Astyanax mexicanus: one gene and its partners. The protein of the gene in region 3 purifies or fractionates together with the protein of the main gene of each other region. This does not show direct contact. Links are inferred from orthologs where the notes say so. Each region holds a gene or a part of one and is shown on either strand. Other genes may lie near its edges. The genes, in order: sntb1, sntb2 and dmd.

Region 1 (7,908 bases), on a different chromosome or scaffold from region 3:
AACAAGAAAAAGAAGAAGAATGAGACGAAAAAGAAGACTGATTCGGGCCCGTCGTTTTCTGAAGCTACGCAAGCATGACCAAGACTAGACAGGGGTTGAGACTGTAGACAGCAAACTAATGTGATTAAATGTGATTTTTTTTTTCATGAATAGTTTATGACCTGAGGAGGATGGGTCCCCCCTGTGAGTCTGGTTCCTCCCAAGGTTTCTTCCTCCAGATTTGAGGGAGTTTTTCCTTGCCACTGTCGCCTTTGGCTTGCTCACAGGGGGTTTTATAAATAAAGTATTAAGAAGACCAGTCTGGGCACAGTCTTGATAGCTGGAGAAAGCCTGACAGCTAATATAAGAAGAACAAAAAGAAGAACACGAAAAAGAGGACTAAGAAGAAGAACAAGAAGAACAAGAAGAATATCAAGAAGAAGAAATAGACAAAGAGGACTAAGAAGAAGAACAAGAAGAAAAAGAAGAAGAAGAAGACTAATTTGGGCCCGTAATTTTCTGAAGCTACGCAAGCATGACCAAGACTGAACAGGGGTTCAGACTGTAGACAGCAAACTAATGTGATTAAATGTGTTTTTTTTCATCAACAGTTTACGACCTGAGGAGGATGGGTCCCCCCTGTGAGTCTGGTTCCTCCCAAGGTTTCTTCCTCCAGCTTTGAGGGAGATTTTCCTTGCCACTGCCGCCTTTGGCTTGCTCACAGGGGGTTTTATAAATAAAGTATTAAGGAGACCAGCCTGGGCACAGTCTTGATAGCTGGGGAAAGCCTGATAGCTAATATAAGCAATTGATTCTACTGCCCTGAGAGAAGTTTGATAGCGACCACTGGTCATCAGAACTCCAGAACTTCTCTAAAATCTTTTTGACCTCTCTGTTTATTTAAAAATTAATAATAAAAGTGTTTATCAAACAGTATGTAAGTGAATGAGAGTCGTTTTTGTTCCTCATCTTATCAGTAGAATAATGCTGTACATCAATACAAATACTAGACTTTTACTTTTTCAGCATAAACAATGGCGTGCTAATTTTAGAATATGGAAAACACATCTTGGTGTAGTAGTAACTTATTAAACTTTTTTTTAACTCAATATAAACTCAATATAAAAATATCAGTATTGCAAAAAAGTGTTTTTGTGTGCATTATTACAACTAATACAGCAATTAACCCTAAAAAGCCCACATCATTTCTAAAAACAACACATCCCAACAGTTAAGCATTGGAGGGAAGATCATTGATGCTTCAGGCTCCTGGGCTCATGTTTATAAAGCAAAATTAATGGACAGACCTCAAAAACTCATCACTTGCAAGATGGGCCATGAATCAACAAGCTGTTTGCAAAGGACCCCAACCACCCACCACAAACATGAATTGACTAAATAAATGAGTGCTGATCACAGTTTTTTGCTTTTTATATACATCAGACAATTCAAATTTATTCATTTTTTCTGGAAAATAAAATATGTATATCCCTATAACGCCAAACGTATCATATTTGATACATGATTTTTTTGAGCCCTCCAATGAGCAGTGTTACAATTGTTTCCCTAAAAAACTCAATCGATACTATGAGGTACATGCAGTGCACTGATAATTCAGGGGGCATCAGTCATGATAAATAAACAGGACTGAGCTCTTCCAATCACCTTTTCCTTTTGGCAACCACTTATTTAATATATTTTAGTGCCTTCATGAATTAATAAATATATTTCTAAATAAAGTAAAGTTGTTCATGTAAAAAAAGAATAGTTGATTGTTGGTTATTTGTTGGAGTATAGGGGGTATCGCCTTCCCTTGTAACGATGGGAGCAGACGGGAGGCGGACGTAAATGCGGGTAAGACAGACTTTAATAAATAACAAACAAACAAACAAGGTGAAAACGAGAACATATATAAACATAAACAAACAGGAAAAACAAACAAAGAGCTAAGCTGAACAGATAATAAACTAAACAGAGCTAGGGATATAAACAAGGGATAAATACGTAAATATATACAGGTATAAACAAGGAAACAGACAGGAAGTAAACGTGACAGGAAATAAACGTCACAAACAACAAACTAGAAATAAACAAGAGAGTGTAAATACAAATAACCAAGGAACGAGGAATAAGCAAAAACGTGGCGAGACAGACAACATGGGAAGGTGCAAAGACCAACAGCAAACATAGACTAAAAGGGACTATTTATACTAACATGAAACAATGAACACCTGGGGGAAAGGGCGGAGCTACAAATTACAGACACGTGACGGAAAATTACAGGGGAAACACACTGGGAAACGCAGGAACACAGGGAAACAGAGCGAGGGCGTGACTTCCCTGGCATTTTGCTGATATATACAAGACACTGCGGATTGAGGAACAATAAATACCTCCATACCTTTAGAAATAGTAGTTGTTCCATCCATCTGGCACCTACTATCAGAGCTCATTCAAACTTATAATATGATAATTCACATCACCTTGCTCTGAGCACACTGGCCATCTCACACACAAGGTACTACCTCACCCTATACAAGTGTGTGCATTACCAAGACATAATGAAAAATTAATATAATATTATTCCATGATATAATCCATCTTTTTTGCATTTGATAAAGTGCTTGATATTTTTATAAAGGCTCCAGTTTAAAAGAATTGAAATTGTATGTCAATTATTTAATGGTTTGGGCTTTACAGGGATATATATGCTATTTACAAACTCATACAGACAAACGTAATCTAAAGCAATCAATGTCTTCCATTTGAGGTGTCATGTGAAACAGTTCATATTATAATAAATGACCATACAATGTGATCTCACTTAATAGGAGATAGAATTATGGCGAGAGAGAGCGGGGTGTTTGCAAGGGGGGAACATGCAACTAGTCAAATGGCTTGTTGTCTTCACATGAAACGTGAAATCACACCCTTTAACTCAATTTAATCGGTGTAAAAAATAGCATTCATCAGACAAATTGCTTGCCCTAAATAAAAAAAATGCTCAAATGCAGCTAAAATGTCTGTAGCATTCAGTTATAGATTGTTTTGTGGGTTCAGAAACATTCCAAACACTGCTCTCTATCTGCACACCTGTATAAACTACCTCTGCAGAAGTGTTCACATACCCTTCTCATTTAAACGAATAAAATACAAACAAGAAATACATATTTAATACAAATAAAGTTTAATGCAAGTTGAATCAGCCAACCTAAAATTGATATGTACAAAAATATCTATTCTGACTCTGGAGATCAGTCGAGTAAAATGAGTGAGCACCTCCACCAGTGGACATATTACAATATTACAACTGTATACAAATTATGAATATGAATGTAAAATTAAAAGAAATGAAAAAAAAATAATAATAATACATTTACTTACTGCTCTGCACCATATAGAGAGTGACAGTTTAGAGCAGTCCTGCAGTAGCTCTCTAAAGCTTACCTGTAGATATAAAGAAAACAAGTCAATTCTAAAGGTTATTTTTGGCTAGTTCTTAAGCTATATATTTTTTTTCTAATTATTTACACATGCTTCCTCTGATACACGTGAAGTCAGCCACCACTTCTAAGGTTGACTTACTTTAAAGTTTTTTTATTTTACAGTTGTAGACACACAGTCAGCCTCCAGGTGTCGCCAAAGCCTAAAATATACATCTAAAAGGTCTGTAGCCTGCAGTTATAGATTGTTTTGGGGGTTCAGAAACATGACAAACACTGCTCTCTATCTGCACACCTGTAAAACGACTTCTGCAGAAGTGTTCACATACCCTTCTCATTCAGATGGCAGCCAGATAGATAAAATGTAGGTGACCAGTAGCTTAAAATCACATAATTAGATAAATACAATCAAATAATGCAGACGAAGAATATAGATAGATATACAAAAGGTATAAAATCTTTGGTAGAACAGAGCAAAAGTGCAAGTTGTATACAGCATAAAGTGTCTAGGTGCCTATATACATGAATCTATAAATGGAAGTGAGGGATATTTCTGATCTGGTAGTGGAAGGTAGTTTGTTTCTCCATTGGGGAATTCTGTATGAGAACAGTCTGGATTGCTTTGTGTGAATGTTTGGTAAAGTGAGACGACGTTCATTGGAGGAGCGCAGCGGCCGGGAGGTAGCGTAAGCCTTTAGTAGTGACTGCAGGTAGTAAGGAGCTGTTCTGTCATCACCTTCACCTTCCTGGTTTTCGTACAAATGTATCCCATAGGAACGAATGGTAATATGTTCATTATGTTCACATTCGTGTGTGTTTTTCAGCTATATTGTCCAAATGCTTGATGACACCATCAAGCAATACCTAAACAGTGACCTCGCAACAACATAGCAAAACCATAGCATCCACCATGGAAAGTTCTGCATGATTAAAACATCTTTTTTATAATCAAAGTGTGATTATCACCCATACCTTTATATCAAATAAAATAAAAAATAATATTAAAATACGTATGACTAAGTCACACGCCATTTTTTTAAATAGTGGGAAAATCTCTTCATCAGGTCAAGCTCAGGCAGACTACAATTTTTTTTATTATTATTATTTTTTATTATTGTTTTTTTTTTTGCAAACAAACAAAAACAAATGTGGGATTTAAATAAAATGTAAAAGATTACAGATATCAATTGGGTTTATGACATTTTTCTTATTATTTTTATATTCTTTATTTTTTTATTTTTTATATATTTGAAAATCGTATAATTGCATAGGTCCGAATAAACAAATGTTCGGAATGAGGGTATTTACCTACAATCTAGCTTGTATCCAATAAGAGTGGGAGAATGACGAGAGGCGTGGCTCTGGGTGTGGAGAGAAAAACTTTTGTCCAATCAGAGTGTAGGAAGGCGGGGCCGGTGTGAGGGCGGGAGGGGAGTCAGCGCGCGCTGGAGGCTGGAGGTGAGTCAGAGCTCGGGGGAAAGTTTGAGAGAGGGTGAGCGCGAGCTGAGCGCGGCTGGATTATTCGCGCGCGCGGAGATGACTGCGGGATGGCGGTAGCGGCCGCGGGTCCCGCGCAGCGCGCGCACAGGAGCGGGTTCGTGGAGGTGCTCGTGCGCGAGCAGTGGCACCGCGTGTTCGCGAGTTTGGGCGACGAGGCGCTGACCCTGAGCTGTGAGGAGAACGGGCACGCGCACGAGCATGTAAACGGCGAGGCGGATGCGGGGGCGCGCGGCGCGTTCACGGTAAGGTCGGTGTGCGTGTGCGTGCGTGTGCGTGTGTGTGTGTATGAACGGGAACGCGTATTCCTGACGTTAACTACTCTGTTGAGTATTGTAAGTATGTGCACGCACGGAGGGCTGAGCAGGAGTATTAGTACTGCCGAGTAAAGTGGAGTAAAGTTTTTTATTCCGTGAACATTTAATTAAACTCAGACAGGTAAACTCTGGGTGGATTGGTGGATTAAAGGGCGCAGGTAAAAAAAAAAAAAAATACATGTTTTGGTCCAGAGCCTCCCCATGCTGACTGAAGTGGGGTGCCCAAACTTTTGACCAAGATATGGTTTATTCCAAAGCTTTTTCATGCACAAACTGTACTGAAAAGGTGTGGAAACTATTAATGTTACCGTTCATTACTCTGTAGGTAGAAGTATAGATACTAGAGTTTTAATAACTTCTGTAGGAGTAAAGTATCAACTTAAGCTTTTTACCCAAGTAAGAGTACTGTTTTCAAAACTACTTAAAGTATAAAAGTAAAAGTAATGTAGGGTGAAGAAATACCATTAAGGAAAAAGCCACAGGGTCCTATAGTGCACATTTTCTAGGGGTGTGAGGAGACACTAATATCACGAGACGAGACGGGACACGATATTGGGTTCACGAGAACAAGACGAGATTTAAAAATGAAATTTTAAAGAAAATGTCAAAAATGAAAAATGGCTTGAAAACGTTTATTTGACAAAATTATATAACGCAAACTTAACAGACTCTCACACACTGATTCTATAAGAAATATAAATAAGAATAAAAAATAAAAAGAAAACTTTTCTAGGTCTTATATAGTGCAAACAATAAGTGCAAACCACAACCAGTCATATTAAGCCTATGGTTTGTGTTTTTTCTCCTAAATCTCTTGTAATTTAACTATGCATAACCACAACCAGCCATATTAAGACTATGCTTGAAGTGCAAACAGATATACAGTACAGAGCTAAGGGATTAGTACAGCTGCCTATGAAACAGTCACGTGTAGGATTTACTTACAGTATTTATATATGGTTTGTGTCTTGTTTATTGTTTCCACTGGAGCCGAAATGCAGCCAGATATACAACTTAAAAGTAGCAGCAGCATCTTCTATACAAACGCCCAAATTTTCCTCTTCTGCTAAGAGCTGCTCTCGCTGCTCAGCCATCATACTCTATTGCTATCGCTACTGAGTTGCCAGATCCCTCTTAAAAAGTCCACACTTAACTGTTTTTTTGCCCCGCGAGACAGTTTTAAGCCTGACGAGAAATCTCGTCCGTTTTAATCTTGCGAGATCTCATGCCACCCCTAACATTTTCTAAAGGCCATAATGACTATAATGTTATATTAAAATATTAAAGTTGATAGATTTGGGTAGTAGATTTGCAGTAGACTCCCTGTTTTAGTTGCATATATGCTCATTGAAAATGAATGTATTTGATACAATGCAAATATATTAAAGAAGCCTGGTTAGATGTTTGGCTTGTGTTCTGTTGAGTCTCTGCACGGATCATCTTTACACTAGACTACATGTGTCTGCTGTGTTCTTGCTGGAGTGTGACGTGATAGATTGCGAATAAACCAATAAGTTGTTGGAATGGTATGTTTTTATGCTTTTTTCATTCAACCATATTCAAATTCACTTTATCCAGATGGGACTTTTATCCCATTTTCTCCCCAATTTACAAGGCCAATTACTCAACCCACTCAGTAGGATTCCCCCTATTACTAGAGATGCTCCAACACACCAGGAGGGTGAAGACTAGCACATACCCCCTCCGATACATGTGAGGTCAGCTACCGCCTCTTTTCAAACTCCTGCTGATGTAGCATTGTCGAGTAGCATCACAGCGAGCTCGGAGATAAGTGCAGCGACATGGTTGCTATACATTACAGCTCTCAGACGCCTTGTGCTGACCTTTTGGAGTTATGTGGGGGGAGAGCCCCCTAGAGAGCAAGGCCAATTGTGCTCTCTCAGGGCTCCAGCAGCTGATGGCAAGCTACATAAACGGGATACGAACCAGCAAATCCCGATCATAGTGGCAGCTCCTTTGTCTGCTGCACCACTCAGAGCCCCTGGATGGAGAGATTGATCTGGATAGGTTTTTTTTTTTTTTACAGTGAGAAAGCGGGATGAAAACAAGCTGAAATGAAATAGGAGTATCATGTCTATTTTAAAACATGAAAAATAATAATTACTCCAGTAAAGTATAGATAACCCAAATTTCTTTTTAAGTAAGGTAACAAATATTTGTACTTTATAATTTGAAACCTCTGTCTGTTCTAGAGTGTTTGCTGACATGAGGTACCCAAACTTTTGCCACGAAGCTGGTTGGTCCAATATTTCCGCCATGTAAAATGGAAAATACTGGAGAGCTCGCTGACTTGTGCCTTGAATGCTGATTTATTTGAAACTCCTCCATATACATGCTGTACACAAGAGCAGTGAACAGAAAGAGTGCTGCACGTGTTCTGCAAATCTATCAGACGATTTTATAAAAAACAACATCCAAGATTTAAAACTGTGTGATGAATTTTATGATTCCGCCAAATTAGATTTTTGTACCTTAATATATTTGGCAGCTACAGATGTTTAAAATTTGGGTCCAAAATTTCTGAACGCACTTAGTGGACTGCTCTGTGTTGCCAACACCTAAACTATGTGTACTGGCGAAACACTAATTTAAGTTAACACACTTTTTACATCAATATAATATTTTTTTGACATGGAAAATACTGCTTACAT
Region 2 (7,814 bases), on a different chromosome or scaffold from region 3:
ATATGGTGTGTGTATATATATATATATATATATATATATATATATATATATATAATATAATATATATATATTTATAATTGTTTTACCTCTTAGTTTAAAAAAACATATCAAATACTCCAGCTGCATCTTTGCTGTGTTTTTGTCTCTTTAATTTATGCTGCAGATATCTATTTTTTGACATTTCCCATGTAAGTATCATATTTTAAAATATGTTTTCTTTATAGGCAATACATTTTGCAATACATGCAGTGGGTTTGAAATGTGTTTAAAATGTATGAGTACATGTCCGTATATTTTGTTTCCATATGGGATAAGAATTAGAGCGAAGTCTCCACCCCACCCCCCGAGCAAGAGGACCTAATAGCTGCTCTGAAACACATTTAAATCTCTTAAAGTGCAGTTTTAGCACTAGAATGTCCCTCCTAATAGAATAAATGGAAATACTGTCAATATATTTCATATTCTGAGTAAACAGTACTGTATTATTGTGCTGTACTGTATAGGCTGAGTGAATGTATCAGGGAGAGATATGGTGCCAGTTCAATTGGCAGAGAGAGCTTCTGAACATCCTGCATCACCATCAACACCTCCCTACACCCCCTTCCCACAAGCCCAGACCCCCCGACTGCAAATCCCTTCACTCACAGTGTTTTAAATGCTGTAGATCTGCAATAAATAAAAATTGAAAACACATTCATTTGAAGAAATTCTGTTTTCAGCATCTCTGTCCAGTGTAGAGATATAAAGAACATATATCCCACATTCTCCACCCTCAGCTCCACTATCAGCCTCACAGCCTGTGTGAGTTATAAGTAAATACTCATTCATTTCTACTTCAACCTCTGTATATCTCTTACACTTAAACACACTGTACCTGTAATACTGATTTATGTAAACAAGTTTTTTTTTATTGGCTGGGCTGTTGTGGGTCTCATTCATAAACAGTATATATATATATATATATATAACTTGCTGAAGGGTGGTGCTAAAAAAGGTGTAGTCTCTATGGAGGTACTACAGACCTCAGAGACAACAGATAATTTGACTTTAAAAATCTTTAGATGACATGAGCCACAAAATGTTCCTGTACGATGGTTAAGTATGGTTAAGAGTCTGCACTGTGTTTTAGATGGTGAATTTTATCTGACAACAGAAATAAACAGTAGTTTAATTAATCACAATAGAAGTTTAAAAATCTGATTAACCGCAACAGTATTCTGACATTAATCACACTTTTTCATCCCTAAAAAAATTATGTATTATGATATCAGTCGGCTCTGTTAGGATGCATTGAATTAAGTTTGCTTGCTTTGGTTTAAATAAACGTAACAGGTGCGCTGGAGAGAAATACTCTCTCCTTATCCATCCTGATTGACTCTTTTCTAGTTTTGCGTTTTGCTAGTGTTTGCTAGAATCTGGAGACATTTCTGTGAACAAATCGACAAGAAACCACCGCATGGTCTCAGGAACTCAGGAAATCACTGTCTGTGAACACAGTTAACTGTCTGTGAACACAAATGTTAACATGATCCAGAAACAATGCCATCTTCTTTCAGCCAATGTATGGGGTTGCAAAATTGAAAATTCTCTATCAAAAACTCTACACGCAGCTGTTCAAAGAAGAGGTGATGCTACACAACAGTAGACATAGCTCTGTCCCAACCTTTTAAGAGGTGTTGCTGCCATCAAATTCTATTCTAAAGGAGCTAACTTTTTTATGAAATGGTAAAGCTTACTTTACATCTGATATTTATTTTATTGTATTATAAATAAAATATGGGTGTTATGAGATTGGAATTGCATTCTTTTTTATTTACATTTTACACAGTTTCCCAACTTTGTTTGGAATTTAAGTTTTATTAGAATTAATTTAAATAATAAACAAAATGTAACCCATTGTAAATAGGTTATGCAAATACTACAGGATACAGTTGGAGGAAAAGTATGTCAACCCTTTGGGATTACTTGGATTTCTGCACAAATGGGTCATTAAATGTGTTCTGATCTTCATCTAAGTCACAAGAATAGACAAACCCAGTCTGCTTGAACTAATACCACACAAAAATATATGTTTGCATGGTTTTATTGAACACAACATGTTAATATTCACAGTGAGGGAGGGAAAGTATGTGAACCTTTGGATTTAATAACTGGTTGACCCTCCTTTGGCAGCAAAAACCTTAACCAAATGATTCCTGTAGTTGCAGATCAGACCTGCAGAACAGTCAGGAAGAATCTCAATTGGGTTGAGATCAGGACTCTCCAGAAGGCGTTTTTTCTTCTGTTGAAGACATTCGGTTCTTGATTTATTTCTATGTTTTAGGTCGTTTGTCCTGTTATCCATCTTCTGTTGAGCTTCAGTTGGTGGACAGATGGTCTTAAGTTTTCCTGCAAAATGTCTTGGTAAACTTTGTAATTCATTTTTCCGTTGTTGACAGCAATCCTTCCAGACCCTGAGGCAGCAAAGCAGCCCCAAACCATGATGCCCCCTCCACCATATTTCACAGTTAGGATGAGGTTTTGATGAGGGTGTGCTGTGCCTTTTTTCCACACACAAACGTTGTGTGTTACTTCCAAACAACTTAATTTTGGTTCCATCTGGCCACAGTATATTTTGCCAGTACTGCTGTGGAACATCCAGGTGCTCTTTTGCAAACTTCAAACTTGCAGCAATGTTTTTTTGGACAGTAGTGACTTCCTCTGTGGTGTTCTCTGATGAACTCCATTCTTGTTTAATGTTTTTCCTTTTTGTAGATTTGTCAACAAAAATGTTAGCATGTGACAGTAATTTCTGTAAGTTTTTAGCTGACACTCTAGGATTCCTCCTCACCTCATTGATCATTCTGCACTGTACTCTTGCGGTCATCTTTACAGGACGACCACACCTAGGGAGCATAGCAACAGTGCTGAACTTTCTCCATTTGTAGACCGCCTGTCTTACTGTGAACACATGAACATCAAGGCTTTTAGAGATACTTTTGTAACCCTTTCCAGCTTCATACAAGTCAACAGTTCCTGAATGTACAGTAGGTCCTCTGAGAGATCTTTTGTGCGAGGCATGATTCAAAAGCAGTGCTTCTTAGGAACAACAAACTCAAAACTGGTGTGTGTTTTTATAGGGTAGGACAGCTTTAACCAACACATCCAATCTCATCACATCCTGGTTCCAATTAGCTCTTAGAAAAGTCATTAGCCTAGAGTTTTATATACTTTTTCCACCCTGCACTGTGAATGTTAACATGTTGTGTTCAATAAAACCATGGAAACATATATATTTTGTGTGGTTTTAGTTTAGGCAAAAATCAAAGAAATCCCAAAGGGTCTCACATTTCCACTGCTGACAGGAAGAGACTGAACAAGATCATCGCAAGGTCCAGCTCTGTCCTGGGGTGGTGTGAGATGGGAGCATGAGAACGGCGTTTAAACACATGCTGTAGAACCTATGCACCACTCACCACAGCATTGGGCAGTTTCTTCAGTGCCTGGCTGCTGCTATACCCACGGTATGTGAAGTAGAGATACCACAGGTCCGTCCCTCCTTGCTGCTGCAAGAATGTCCAACTGTAGTTTACTATTTCTTACAGTGTGAATTGAAACAGTTAACTTATTACTGATCTTATGGTTTAGAATGTGCAACATTTTAATTCACCATGTGTATAATTCGCCATATGTACAAACATCAGTTATTGATGTTTAATAAGGCTGTATTTAGGTTGCCATAGTAACTGTAGGAGGGTAGGGGTGGCTTGGCCTGGCTGGACTCCTGACTGGACTTTAAGGACAGGAGGGGTGAAATATGGAGGGAGAGTTGGAGGAGGAGGAGCAGGCTGTGTTTATAACTGTTATAATAACAGGGCTGTTATAAGAGTAGCACTCTGTTGGAATATCCCCCCCCCCCGCCCCCCTCCCTGCAGCAGCTTCCCTGCAGCAGCTTACTCAGGCATGATTGCCTTGTGGACTACAATCCTGAGAACTGACACCCTATTGGCTGTTCCAGCCTTATAATCCAGCCAAACCCCAGTTGGATGACTCAGAAAACTGATTGTTATAATGCTCTTATAGCACAATTAATGCAAAAACCACCCCCCCCCACCACCACCACCCACAAAAAACCCCCACAAACCTCAAATTACACTTTTTATTAATTAAGCTCCATCCTCACAGAGGAAAAAACATCTCTACACAAACCAGAACGGCCCTTTTTTAAATATGTAAACCTATGGCTAACCTGTTAAACATAATTTATATTGGATGATCACCCTTAACAGGTGGTTTATGCAAATGATTCCACTTCTAAGAAACATTTTCTTGCTGACTGTGCAGAACCCCAGTGCAGGACCTTAGCATGAGCACGTGTTTCAACAAAAATGTAATTATTACAGTGTGCTCTGACTGAGCGCTCTACAACAGAAGAGCATGCTATTTTTATCATTTAAAACAAGGGGCCCTCACACAAAAACATAAAGCTGAACTCAAAGCAAAAGCCCTGGAACTGAAGTGCATGTTTACTACGTGATGTAGAACACAATGTACAACAGGCGTGCATTTCTAGAACACAAGTCACGTTTAAGAAGCTGGATGAAGTGTTGTAGAAGATAAGTGCGCACTTGTTGAGGAGGAGAGAGGCCATTCTCTCCAGATACTTCTGATTTACAAACTCTTAGCCAATAGCACGAGGGGCGGGGCTAGTCTGAAAACGGGTAGGGAAAACACGCAAACTTGTAAACTGTGTGTGTGTGAGTTTGTGTGTGTGTGTGTGAGAGAGAGAGTGTGTGTGGGCGTGTACATGTGTGTGTGTGTGTGTGTAGAGTTGTACTCGGGAGCGGAAACTGAAAGTTCGGACGGTATGAGGGGTTCGGTATGAGGAGTTTGGACTGAGCGCGCGCGGGTGATGGCGATCTGGACTCGTGCGGATAAGAACGGTCAGCTGGACCTGCTGCTGCGCGAGCGCTGGGTCCGGGTCACGGCCGACCTGAACCGGGACACTCTGACCCTGACTGCGGAGGGGGAAGCGAGCGGTGTGGAGCTCAGAAACGGACTGTCTAACGGGGGTGATCCCATCAGCGAACAGAACCGACTCCGGAACCAGAACCCGGAGCTTCAGCCGAACCACGGGCACTTAAAGCCCAGTGGTGGCAGCGTGTACGGCTACAGCAGCCCCCGCAGACCGAGCCGCGACAACGGCACTAGCTCGGACTACGGCAGTCCCGGGTCAGGCTACGGAAGCCCAGGCTCCAGTTTCAGCTCCAGACATGGGGAGGGGGCAGGAGGCGGCAACAGCAGCGCAAACTTCGACACGAGCCCAGCGGAGACCGTGAGGAAGGTCCGGGTGGTGAAGCAAGAGTCCGGCGGACTGGGTATCAGCATTAAGGGTGGCCGGGAGAACCGCATGCCCATCCTCATCTCCAAAATCTTCCCCGGTCTGGCCGCGGACCAGAGCCGCGCGCTGCGCGTGGGAGACGCGATCCTGTCCGTTAACGGCAGCGACCTCCGCGAAGCCACGCACGACCAGGCGGTGCAGGCGCTGAAAAAGGCGGGGAAGGAGGTGACGCTGGAGGGTGAGTGCTCAACGCAAAGCCGGGGATTTACACGGCCTGCGGGCTGCGCTGCGATAACACCGCTCCCGCCTCAAATATAAACACACACAGCCGGGCACGCGGGTTCTGCTGTACTGGTTCTGCAGTATTGACTTAGCACACTATTGTTCTAAAACTAGAACGCATAGCTAGCACATTCTTGGTTTTGAACTAGAACTCTTGCGCATGCACACTCATGTTCTAAAACTAAACACTCAGCCAGCCTGGGTTTACTGTGTTCTGGAATGTGATCGAGCAAAGTTATATTCTAGAGCTAGGGCACTTTGACCATGCACGCTTGCGCTCTAACACCAGAATGGTGGCAGTAACCAGGCTGTATCTATATTCTAGAACTTTTTCAATCTCAAGTTGTACATCTAGAACTTTTAGATCCCAGGTGTCACACACAAGGCCTGTCAGCTATAGGATGAAAATGCAGGCAAAAAGGAAACAATAATACGCATCTGATTAATAGGGATTTAGCCACAGGTTAGCAGTATTACATATATTTGAGCCTTGTTATTAATTGCTTTAGTCAAGCTTTTTATGCTAGTGTAAATATTGTTAAAATATATTGGTCAAAATATCATGTTATATCACAGTATATCATAATATCATAGTATTTAGCACAATACTTTTAATGCAGATAATATATCAGTGAAGATGATTCTGAAATACTCCTCCATACAGTACAGTGATTTATATTTAACATTCTTCATTATATCCTGTTAAACTGCACTAATAACACTCTCTATACACAAGTGCACAGTTGGTCAGTGTTCATTAAGCACTGATGATATCCACAATATGTTTATAAAAGTATACTGTATCACATTAACACGTTTTCTCAATGAAATAAAATATTGTCATATTGCCCAGTCCTACTTTTTCATCTCTGCTTTGTCTCACAAATCAGTCAAGAGTTTATCTCTTTCCACTGTCTGAAACAATGCCATTATTGATATCTGACCTAACCAGTGAAATAAATGAACTGGTCCCTAGCAACCAGGAAAGTGTGAGTTGCGTTTAGGTGTATATGCTGGTATGTGGAAATATCTGTTGTAAGTTATGACCAACAACCTAAACGTAATGAAACAGGAACACCCATGAATTAATGGCTATGAACCCAACTAGATATTTTTAGACAAACATGAACATCCATTATGTAATAATGTTTGTTCAGTCAGGGTACTCTGGCCTTTATGCAGCTGTTCTGGGACTAACTGGTCACAGTCCAGTTCTGATACTGTACGATAGAAATACACAATAATACACATACCTCCACGTTTCTGTGGACACCCCTTATATTACAGCATCCATTCCTTTTAGGATGAGTTAAAGAGGTGAGGTGGGGTGGTGATCTTTCATCATCATGACCTTGCTAACACTCAATGAAAACAATGAAATCCTCACAGCAATTCTCCAAATTCTATTAGAAAGTCTTCCCTGGCCAGTAGTGACAATTACTCAAACAGAGTCAAGATCAGCTTTTTTTAATACCTTTAAATCAGAAGAAAGAGCAGGTGTCCTAATACAGTCAACCACATAGTATAGGTGCTGTCTGTATACCAGTAAAATAAAACAGAAAAAAGAGCAGTAAAATTAGTCAGGTCTGCAGGACAGTAAAGTCCCTCTGCTGCTGGAGTCGGGAGTAGTGTTACAAAACAGCCCATTCAAAATAAAGGTCCGATTGTGTTTCCAGTTTGATCAGCGTAGCAGGAGAGCAAGGCTGATATCACCATCACACGCTCTCAGATCTGTTCTTGTCCACAGGTCAGTCAGGCCTAAAACTGCTGATCAGACCACAAACTAAAGAATTACACTAATTTAACTTAGCTGAACGCTGAGCTGCAGATGGTGTCCACTGTGGATGCTTCACCAAAGATGAGATCTTTTGTTTTGTCCAATTAAAAAATGGGCAATAAAACAAGGGGCTCTATTTATGCTCCGTTCTACTTTCACTGCCTTCTTCTGAAGCTAGAACCGAGTGACCTCCAGCAGGGCCAAACACAGAGTGGCTGACACAACAGAACTGTGCATCCCAAAACCCAAACTGGAAGTGAAACTGATGTCACATGACCTGCATGGCCTCTTTCAGTTTAGTGTTAGTTGGAGGCAGTTTTCTACTCCAGCTGTTTGTGTGCTTTATAAAGCTGAAGCTATATCTCAAGTTTTATTTGAAGGTAATATTGTGCTGTAATCCAAATCAGTGATAACGGTGTTAGGTTCTGAGATGCT
Region 3 (8,070 bases):
GCTATACTGAAAATCAATATAGTATTCCCAAAAATATTACACAGCTATTATTTAAAAAAAAAACTCTAGCATGTTTTTATTTTTATTTCCATTAGGTGACGCATCGCAGCCTCATGCCCGCATGGTTCATGTGTTGCTTGCAGAGCACATTAAAGCCCAACCTACGTGGACTCAGAAGTACCCAACCACACGACACATACCAGTGGTATGTCTAATGTTTTGGTTGAGCTGTATGGGTGGGCATTATCCCCTCTAAGAATTTAACGGAATTATCAGTTTTTTAAAGGAATTATCTTTATGTAATACCATTAATGATGCAAAAATAGGAAAATGATATATAATTAATACGATGCTTAACACATTTAACAAAGTCAATGGTAATTTTTGGAATAATCTGAATGTATATGTAATTTTTCCACAATAGTTACTCCATAATGTCAGCTTGGTGGTGAGCAGACTTCGACTTCTAGGTGAAGAAATCCACCAGTTGAAGAAATGGGGAGGATTGAGATTTGACATCCTACACTTCAATTGTTCGGATACACTGTAAGTCAAATCCTGTATTCAAACATACACTTATCATCTGTCAGACTTCTTAAAGGTGATTTCACTAGAAAGCAGTTAGTTTTTGCTTCTTTGAAATACAGTAGGTCACTGAGTTGTGTCTGCATGCTGCATGTGAAACTGTGCTTCTACCTGAATTAACCAATAAAAGAAAACGAGATTTTATGGCCCCGCCCACTGCAGTGCTGTGAAAGGATTGTCGCAGTGCCCTAAGTGACATTTGCATATCATGGATATTCATGAGTAAGAGAAAAAATCCTGTGTTTCTTCCCCACCCATTCCTCCACCCAAATCCAACACAGAATTAATGATAAAATGAGACCTTTACCATCTTAAAGAAATTAAACAGATAATAAAAGCATCATTTTGTACACTCAGTCAAGGCTTTTTTAGCAACACTTTTAGTTTGTAAATATGAAGTCAAAATAAAATTATTTTCTCAATATGATCTGCTTCAATCCAAAAAGTGGCATGTCTCGATGTCACACCTGACCAGTTGTATGTCAGTTAATATTGATTAATTGAGCCTCATAAAACTCAACAGAATTTGTCTTTAAATGTAAAGCAGAAACACTTTCCTTTCACACCTGTGGTTGGTTTCTCTGGTCAGAATCCATTAACAAGTTTGTTTACTTGGTCGGATTTAGTTTCACACAATAAAAAACGCAAGTACAGCAAAATGCATCACAACAAACCACAGTGACTCAGAGTGGTCTGGGGCAGGGATAGTAAAATAAAGAGAGAAAGGTCCTGTTTCAGACCAGCATGCGTATTTGTGTAGTGTGAAGCTTCTTTCACACTAAATGCTGAAGAGTGTGCTGCCTTCCCACTGAAAACAATATATTCCATGCTGTGAGAGGGGAGCACTGCACTCACCATGTTCAGTAATATAAGAACTTGGCATGAAGCAACACTATAGACGCCCTTTGTTCATAGCTCTATTAATATTCAGAGTAATAAATTCGGTTAAATGGCACCTGTCTAATCACATTCTCACAACAAATATTACTGGTGTGGAAACTCTTATGTGGAACCACTCTACCAACGGAGTTATGCTAGCTTCTCTTTCTTCAGTATCCTCTCGCAACTGGAATTCCTTTTGTATAACCGAATAAAAATAAACCCCTTTTAACAATATGAGGTTATTATTATTTGATACTGAAATGTGAGGTGTAATATCTTTTTTTCTCTCTTTCCTAGAGTTGAGATTGTTTTCTCCAGTATCAAGGCCTGTGCCAAATTTGAGCTAAGTCTGACTGTAACTCCAGACTATCCCTTGAATCCCCTTCAAATGCAGAAGTTTCAAAATCTCATTGGGAAAACAAGGTATGGTATTTTATTTGTTTGGTTTTAAATGAAGGGTGTTTTGCAGTTACTATTCAGTATACATTCATTGTCAAAACTAGATGCATTCAGAAGGATTCCGTCGACAGGAATGAATCTTGGGGGATGGTCTTGCCAGACTTTCATAGATTCAAAGAGTGGCTTCAGATTGTCACGCATCACTTTTCTGGGCTTAGCAAAATATGGGGATAGATAAACATCATAAAATGCGTCTTAAAACAGCATACAGCATTCTGGAAACAAGATGGAGAAGTGCATAATATCCTGACGCTTTATCTATACATCACTTGAGGAAATATGATGCACATTGAGTAAGCATCATTTCTCTTGTCCTTGTTTAAAAGCTTATTGTACTCAGTTTTTTTTTCTTTCTTTTTTCACAGAGTTGACCAGATTGAAGATGTCTTGTGCTCTGTTACGCCGGCAAAGAATTATCTGACTAACCTCATAAAGAAGATTCATGCTGATCTTCTGTAAAAGGACTTGTGTGACCTGCAATTTTTTGTTTAATGAGCAATGAAAAGTGCAAAAAAAAACAGATGAATAAAAATTTTAACCAGCATTTTTTAACACTTGCGTGTGTAATTTAACTTCTTGTGAGCGCAAATGTGAAACTTGCAAGCAAAAAAAGTGAATTGTGTGCGCAGTGAATAAAATATTGCTCTCAAGCTTCATTTTTAATCCTCTCAGGTGTTTTTTTTTTCTCTCTCTTTCTTCGTCTCGAAGTCACCGTTCTCCTGTGGCAGCAGTTTGTGAGCGAAGGGTTGTTTGGATGATAGCATAGGCAGCTAGCTAACTCTCCTGCTGTCCTTCTTTCTCCACCCTCCTCAGGCTCTGGGAGGTAGGCGGTCCTTCACAAACCCCAGGAGATATCAGCCAATAGTGTTCGCTGAGGGAGGTGATCCTGACTCCGCCCCCAAACTGTCAAAACCACCCCTTTCAAAAGTCAAGGGGCGAAAAAATCACCCGCGCACAAACTGCAGCCACAGGAGAACTGATTTCGAGATGAAAGAAAAACCCTAGAGGAGAAAAATGAAGCTTGAGAGTGATATTCTGTTCAGCGTGAACACAATTCCTTTGCGCGCGAGTTTCACATTTGTGCTCACAAGAAATTCATTTACACACGCAAATGTTAAAACACGCTGGTTATTTTTGACATTGATGTGACTTTCTTCCACTTCAGTCATATTTACACACAACTTGGTCATGTATATACTGTTCAATGATAGTTGCTGTATGTGGAAACTGTCTAATAAATGTATTTTTGCTGTCAGTTTTAGTCATGGTTCTTGAATTGGTCATGTTAATGCATATTATTGTGAGAAATGAAAGTTTAAAGCTATAAAACCAAGTCTGTAACTGGCTACAAAATATGGAAGTTGTACACATAACCAAAAAGTACATTGGGACAGTGAGTGAGGCAATTTCAAGTTCAGACCAATTGTTCCATAAGAGAAATCTCTGTAATTTGCTCAGCTAAAGTTATCCGTATGAAATAGGAAAATTATTTTATACTTTAATAGACAAATCCATTTCCGTGTAGGTATATGGACTGGGTGAATATTTAGTTGCTTAAATAGCAAAATGTTTTAATGGTTAGTTAGCCTGTAAATAACTAACTATGATCATGTACATATGGGTGTTTACATACAGTATGAAGAAATGTTTCTTCTTTGTACGAATAATTTAAATGTAGATCATCCAACTAATTTGAATATAATATAAAGACAATACAAATAAACACGATGCAGCCCTGAAATGATCATTACATTTGTTAACAGATAAACATCAATTCAAAATCCAGATCATCCATGTGAACAAGTAATTGTCCTTTTAGCTACTAAATCAACCAGTTACTGAAATTCAGTTTAAGAAATCTAATTCACCAGATCTGATAATAGAATCTGTCTGTCAGTGAAAAGCAGACCTGGTCCCAGAAAGCAGGTGATAATGTCAGGATCAGTGGAAAGTGTGTTCTATTAAAATGAGTTATTAATTTGGGTAAAGGAACAGATTCCACAGTAGCCCAAGATGCTTCTGCAACACCAGTGTCACTGTGTACAGTTAAATAAAAAAATTAAAACAAATAGACGAAGAACAAGCTTCCTAGAGGAAAAGATTGTGATGCAAAAATCAAGTTGTTCAGCCACAATAATATTGGGACACTAGGCCAACTGTTAAGCATTGTGGAGTAGTATCATACTATGGGGCTGCTTTGTTGCCAGCGGGCACTAGTTCATTACATAACCTGAACAGAGTAATGAAGATTTCTTTATAACCTCAAACCATCAGCCAGACAGTTGAATCTTTGACACAGGACAGCAGGGAGGGGACAAATAATGCAGCATTATAGTTTACCTTCTCAGAATCCTGATTTCAGTCACATCAAAATTATTTGGTCTGTTCTTAAGGTCAGATCAGCTTCAGGAATATTTGTTTCTGCCCTGAGAATAAAAGGTTTTAAACAATAATCATCACTGTAATGTGCATGAGTTTATGTGAACTGCTGCCCATTGTACATCCAGGTCCAGAAACTTCTTTTGACCTTTTAGCTAATTCACTCTAATGTGATTCTTGCTCCTGTAAGGTCCTGATTATTGAAGAACAGGGCAATTCATATTTTGCAGAGAAAAAAAGGACTACATGCTGTAATTATAGAACTATAAAGTGCTTCTATATGGTTAGATGAGCTTAAAAATGAATTTTAATTGCACTGCCTTTTTTGTCCAGATCCAATCACCACAGCCTCTGATTGGATTATATAAACTATGATCAGTGTGTATAACTGCCCTTCAAGCAAGCAAGAGGACTCTCCAACCCAATAGGAACATTCTTATTCACTATTTACGAATTAACTACAGGAATATTTGACACTCTACCTAAAATTCAAAGGAAACATTTAAAAGTTGTAATCAATACTTAGATTAATTAATCCTAAATAGACCCGGCGTATGTTTGTGATGCAGTCCACGGTGACGCAGACCGTCTGTAAGCTCTATTTTGAGATGAGAAGACTCTGCCACCTGTTCCTGCTCTTCTGGGCCTCCTGACAGTTTGCTTCCCCTGAATCATAACAGTTCAGTCCTTACAGCACTAGCATTTACTCACTACCCTGCATCCAGCCCACACTTCACCTACTACATCTCTGTGGTATCAGGCACTGACTGTTTGATTTTGATACACATCACATTTTCTGCCATGGCTGAAGCCGGGTACTCGGAGGACCAGTGGGAAGTGGAGGCTTCTGAAGATGAATTTGGAGAAATCATAAAGAGTCGATCAGGTAAGAGAACCAAACTCACTGTAGCGTGTAGCGAGGCAAATAGGATTTCAGAAAATAAACATTCTGTGGAATTAACTTTTTTTATGTATGCATGTTGACGTGTAAGTCATTGTTATTAACTTTATTTTAGTTGATGCGTCTGCTCATTATGGTTCTATAAGTCTTTGTTTTTGTAAAACCTTTGAAATGAACATATTTGTGTAATAATCATTTGGCTTGTGACCCTCCCTGAATCCAGCTTAGACACAGAGTGGGCTATATTTACTCCCCCGATGAAATATGGTCTTAAAGAACTTAAAATAGCAGCAGCTGCCTGGTGTAAGATTACTAGTGGCCTTGTTTGAGCTAGTATATTGTTGTTAGCTAGCAGCATAAAGACATTTAAACTACTAATTTAACACTTTTACCAAGATTCTCAGAGTCTATAACTGCTGAAGAACGCAGCTCTTCTGCTGCTGTGTGAGTGCATGTGAAGAAGCTCTGCAGAATGTGGGTGGTCTATTGTTAGTCACACTGTGGCATGCTTTGGCATTGAGTGTCCAGTTAATTTAGAGCATTTCTCAAGTTGTATGCGACAGTTTGGCTCTGGAGGTTTGCAACTCTACCCTGTTGCTGTCCGTATCCATCCTACGTTCCTCTTTTATTGCTCATGCTAGGGCGTGCCTGTGCTTTTTAAATCTATCTTTATACTGAATGAAGTAATGCTTCATTCAAAGTATTTATTACAGTTAAATCATTCCAGTTCAATTGCTTGTTACCACATTAAATAATCTGTTTAGATTATTAAAAAAGACAACCCAACTTTTACATTCGCTTATACTGTGTGTGTGTATATATATATATATATATATATATATATATATATATATATATATATATATATATATAATCTTTACCAAAATAATCACAGTAAATATTTCTATGTTTAATTGCCATTTATTGAATGCTGATTGTATGTACTGTTATTTATTCTGATGTGTGAATGTAATGATGATCTATGTATAGATGTATCTATCTATGTATGTAGAGTGAAAGATAAGTTTATTGGGTGAAACTGTAGAAAAGTATAGAGACTATATTACCCTGTTGGACTTCTAATTGGCGATATATCTGGACAGTCCTGGGAATTCTGTGTGTGGTCAAGAATTATCCTGCCAGTTGGAAGTCCTGCAATGAGTTGTTCACAAGTCGCTGAGCTGTTCGTGTTCCCCGCACCACTACTAGAGGTGACCAGCTGTTGTATGCAATGGATCCCCAGATCATCACAGCAGTGTGTCACTCCACAGGAAAGTCAGGATTAAAATCCTTATCCAAAACTCTATATTCAAACCTGACTGTTGTTGGATCCCAAAACAGAACCTGGATTTATTGCTAAAGACAATATAGTTCCAGTCTGAGATTTCTCTTTTACAACACTATCATGAATAAAAGTGATGAATAGCTGACAAAAACATCCTTCTTCCTTCTTTCTCTGCAATGATGTGCCCCCTTTTAAAGTCTGTCAACTGGGAAGAATTGTCTTCAAGTGTGACACTGAGTCACAATCTCTCACCAAGAAATATACATCCATATGTACAAAAGAGTCCAGTCATAATTTAGGAGGTATTTTTTCCCATTCTTCCTGTGAACATGTTTTACTGTGTGTAACCCCAGCTGGCATTTCAACATTAAATCAATGTTAATGTTATGTCAAAGTCAAGTCAAAGTGGTTTTTATTGTCATTTCAGCTATATACAGAGTGAAACGAAACAACGTTCCTCCAAGGACCATGGTGCACATAAACACAGTGTAGACAGAACAATAGTTGTCTCCTCATCTTTTCTGCCAAAGCACTAAAGCTGACTCAGGTTTCCAAGCTCAGGGCACTAAACCTACTGGAACGCGTGCAGTTAACTAGCTAGCTTTATACGCCGCTAGCTTTCTTAGCCTAAGCCAAGTCCATTATACCGGAAAGGGCCCACTGCTCCAAAAATACACACCTTCGAGTTTCTACTGTACAGACCCCTGTAAGTGTAGTCAGTGAGGACTGGAGATAAACAGATAAATAGCTAACGCTAGCTGCTGAGAATGGAGTATTTTTGGACATAAGAAATGTTTATATTATCGGTGTACTCATCACTGATCAGATAATCAGATAGTAATCTGATACAAGGCATCTGCTCCTCCACTGACTGCAGTTCATGTTAGCTTGTGTAGCATGACTGCGTTAGCCGGCATAGTCCACATCACTTTAGCTAACCTAGCTATCCTCACCAGTAATGCCTCAATTACCCCATGCCTTATTCTCCCAGCTGCACACAGAGTGATATAAATGCAAAAACACATTTTTTGTTAAATAATTAAAGTGACCATCCCAAATAAGCTAACCTAGAGATTGTGATAAATGACCTGGCTAAAGTAGCTCAGCTACCTGTTCAGGAGAAAAGTAGCAGCTCAGCAACTATATTTACTCTTTCTGAGCTGGAAGACTTCTCCATCTGTCCAACTCACTGCCAATATTTACTCTCATTTTATTCCATCTTTGCTCCCTAAGTGGATGAATGCCAAGGCTTACGGCTGTGTAGCAGATAAGATTTGGGCTAAATCAGACTGCTTGCTTGCTTGCTAGATTCCATGTCGTCTGCTTTGCCGGTGTTGTGTTCCTAAAACTGGCAACCTTGGGGTAAAATTAGTGTTGGGGAATGAAACTGGAGATTTAAAATTCATATAGTGGATAGGCAATTAGGTAGTGTTTAAACTCACAGCACATGACGTCTATTCGTTATGTTGTCCTTTAGACAGAAATTGTATGTTCAGAGTGGATGCCCAAAGTTAGGTGGTGTGAAGAGGTGGTTTTAATATATGTAGCTGTCCATGCATCGACATATTAACCATCTTAT

Evidence for each region.
Region 1: the proteins of dmd (region 3) and sntb1 purify together in Homo sapiens (co-immunoprecipitation; 4 studies listed by BioGRID and IntAct, counting the BioPlex papers as one, with this or other methods). This does not show direct contact. The link is inferred for Astyanax mexicanus from reciprocal best matches to the Homo sapiens genes DMD and SNTB1.
Region 2: the proteins of dmd (region 3) and sntb2 purify together in Homo sapiens (co-immunoprecipitation; 4 studies listed by BioGRID and IntAct, counting the BioPlex papers as one, with this or other methods). This does not show direct contact. The link is inferred for Astyanax mexicanus from reciprocal best matches to the Homo sapiens genes DMD and SNTB2.

The regions. Positions count from the first base shown.
Region 1 is NC_064413.1:9,207,977-9,215,884, forward strand, and holds the start of sntb1 (beta-1-syntrophin), read left to right. Parts: upstream 1-4,878; 5' UTR 4,879-4,969; coding exon 4,970-5,164; intron 5,165-7,908. UniProt on the Homo sapiens protein: Adapter protein that binds to and probably organizes the subcellular localization of a variety of membrane proteins. May link various receptors to the actin cytoskeleton and the dystrophin glycoprotein complex.
Region 2 is NC_064417.1:11,124,581-11,132,394, forward strand, and holds the start of sntb2 (beta-2-syntrophin), read left to right. Parts: upstream 1-4,719; 5' UTR 4,720-4,891; coding exon 4,892-5,558; intron 5,559-7,814. UniProt on the Homo sapiens protein: Adapter protein that binds to and probably organizes the subcellular localization of a variety of membrane proteins. May link various receptors to the actin cytoskeleton and the dystrophin glycoprotein complex.
Region 3 is NC_064428.1:3,150,015-3,158,084, forward strand, and holds the start of dmd (dystrophin), read left to right. Parts: upstream 1-4,987; 5' UTR 4,988-5,106; coding exon 5,107-5,191; intron 5,192-8,070. Other genes in the region: uncharacterized protein knl1, read left to right, coding at 96-205, 425-546, 1,765-1,890, 2,292-2,385. UniProt on the Homo sapiens protein: Anchors the extracellular matrix to the cytoskeleton via F-actin. Ligand for dystroglycan.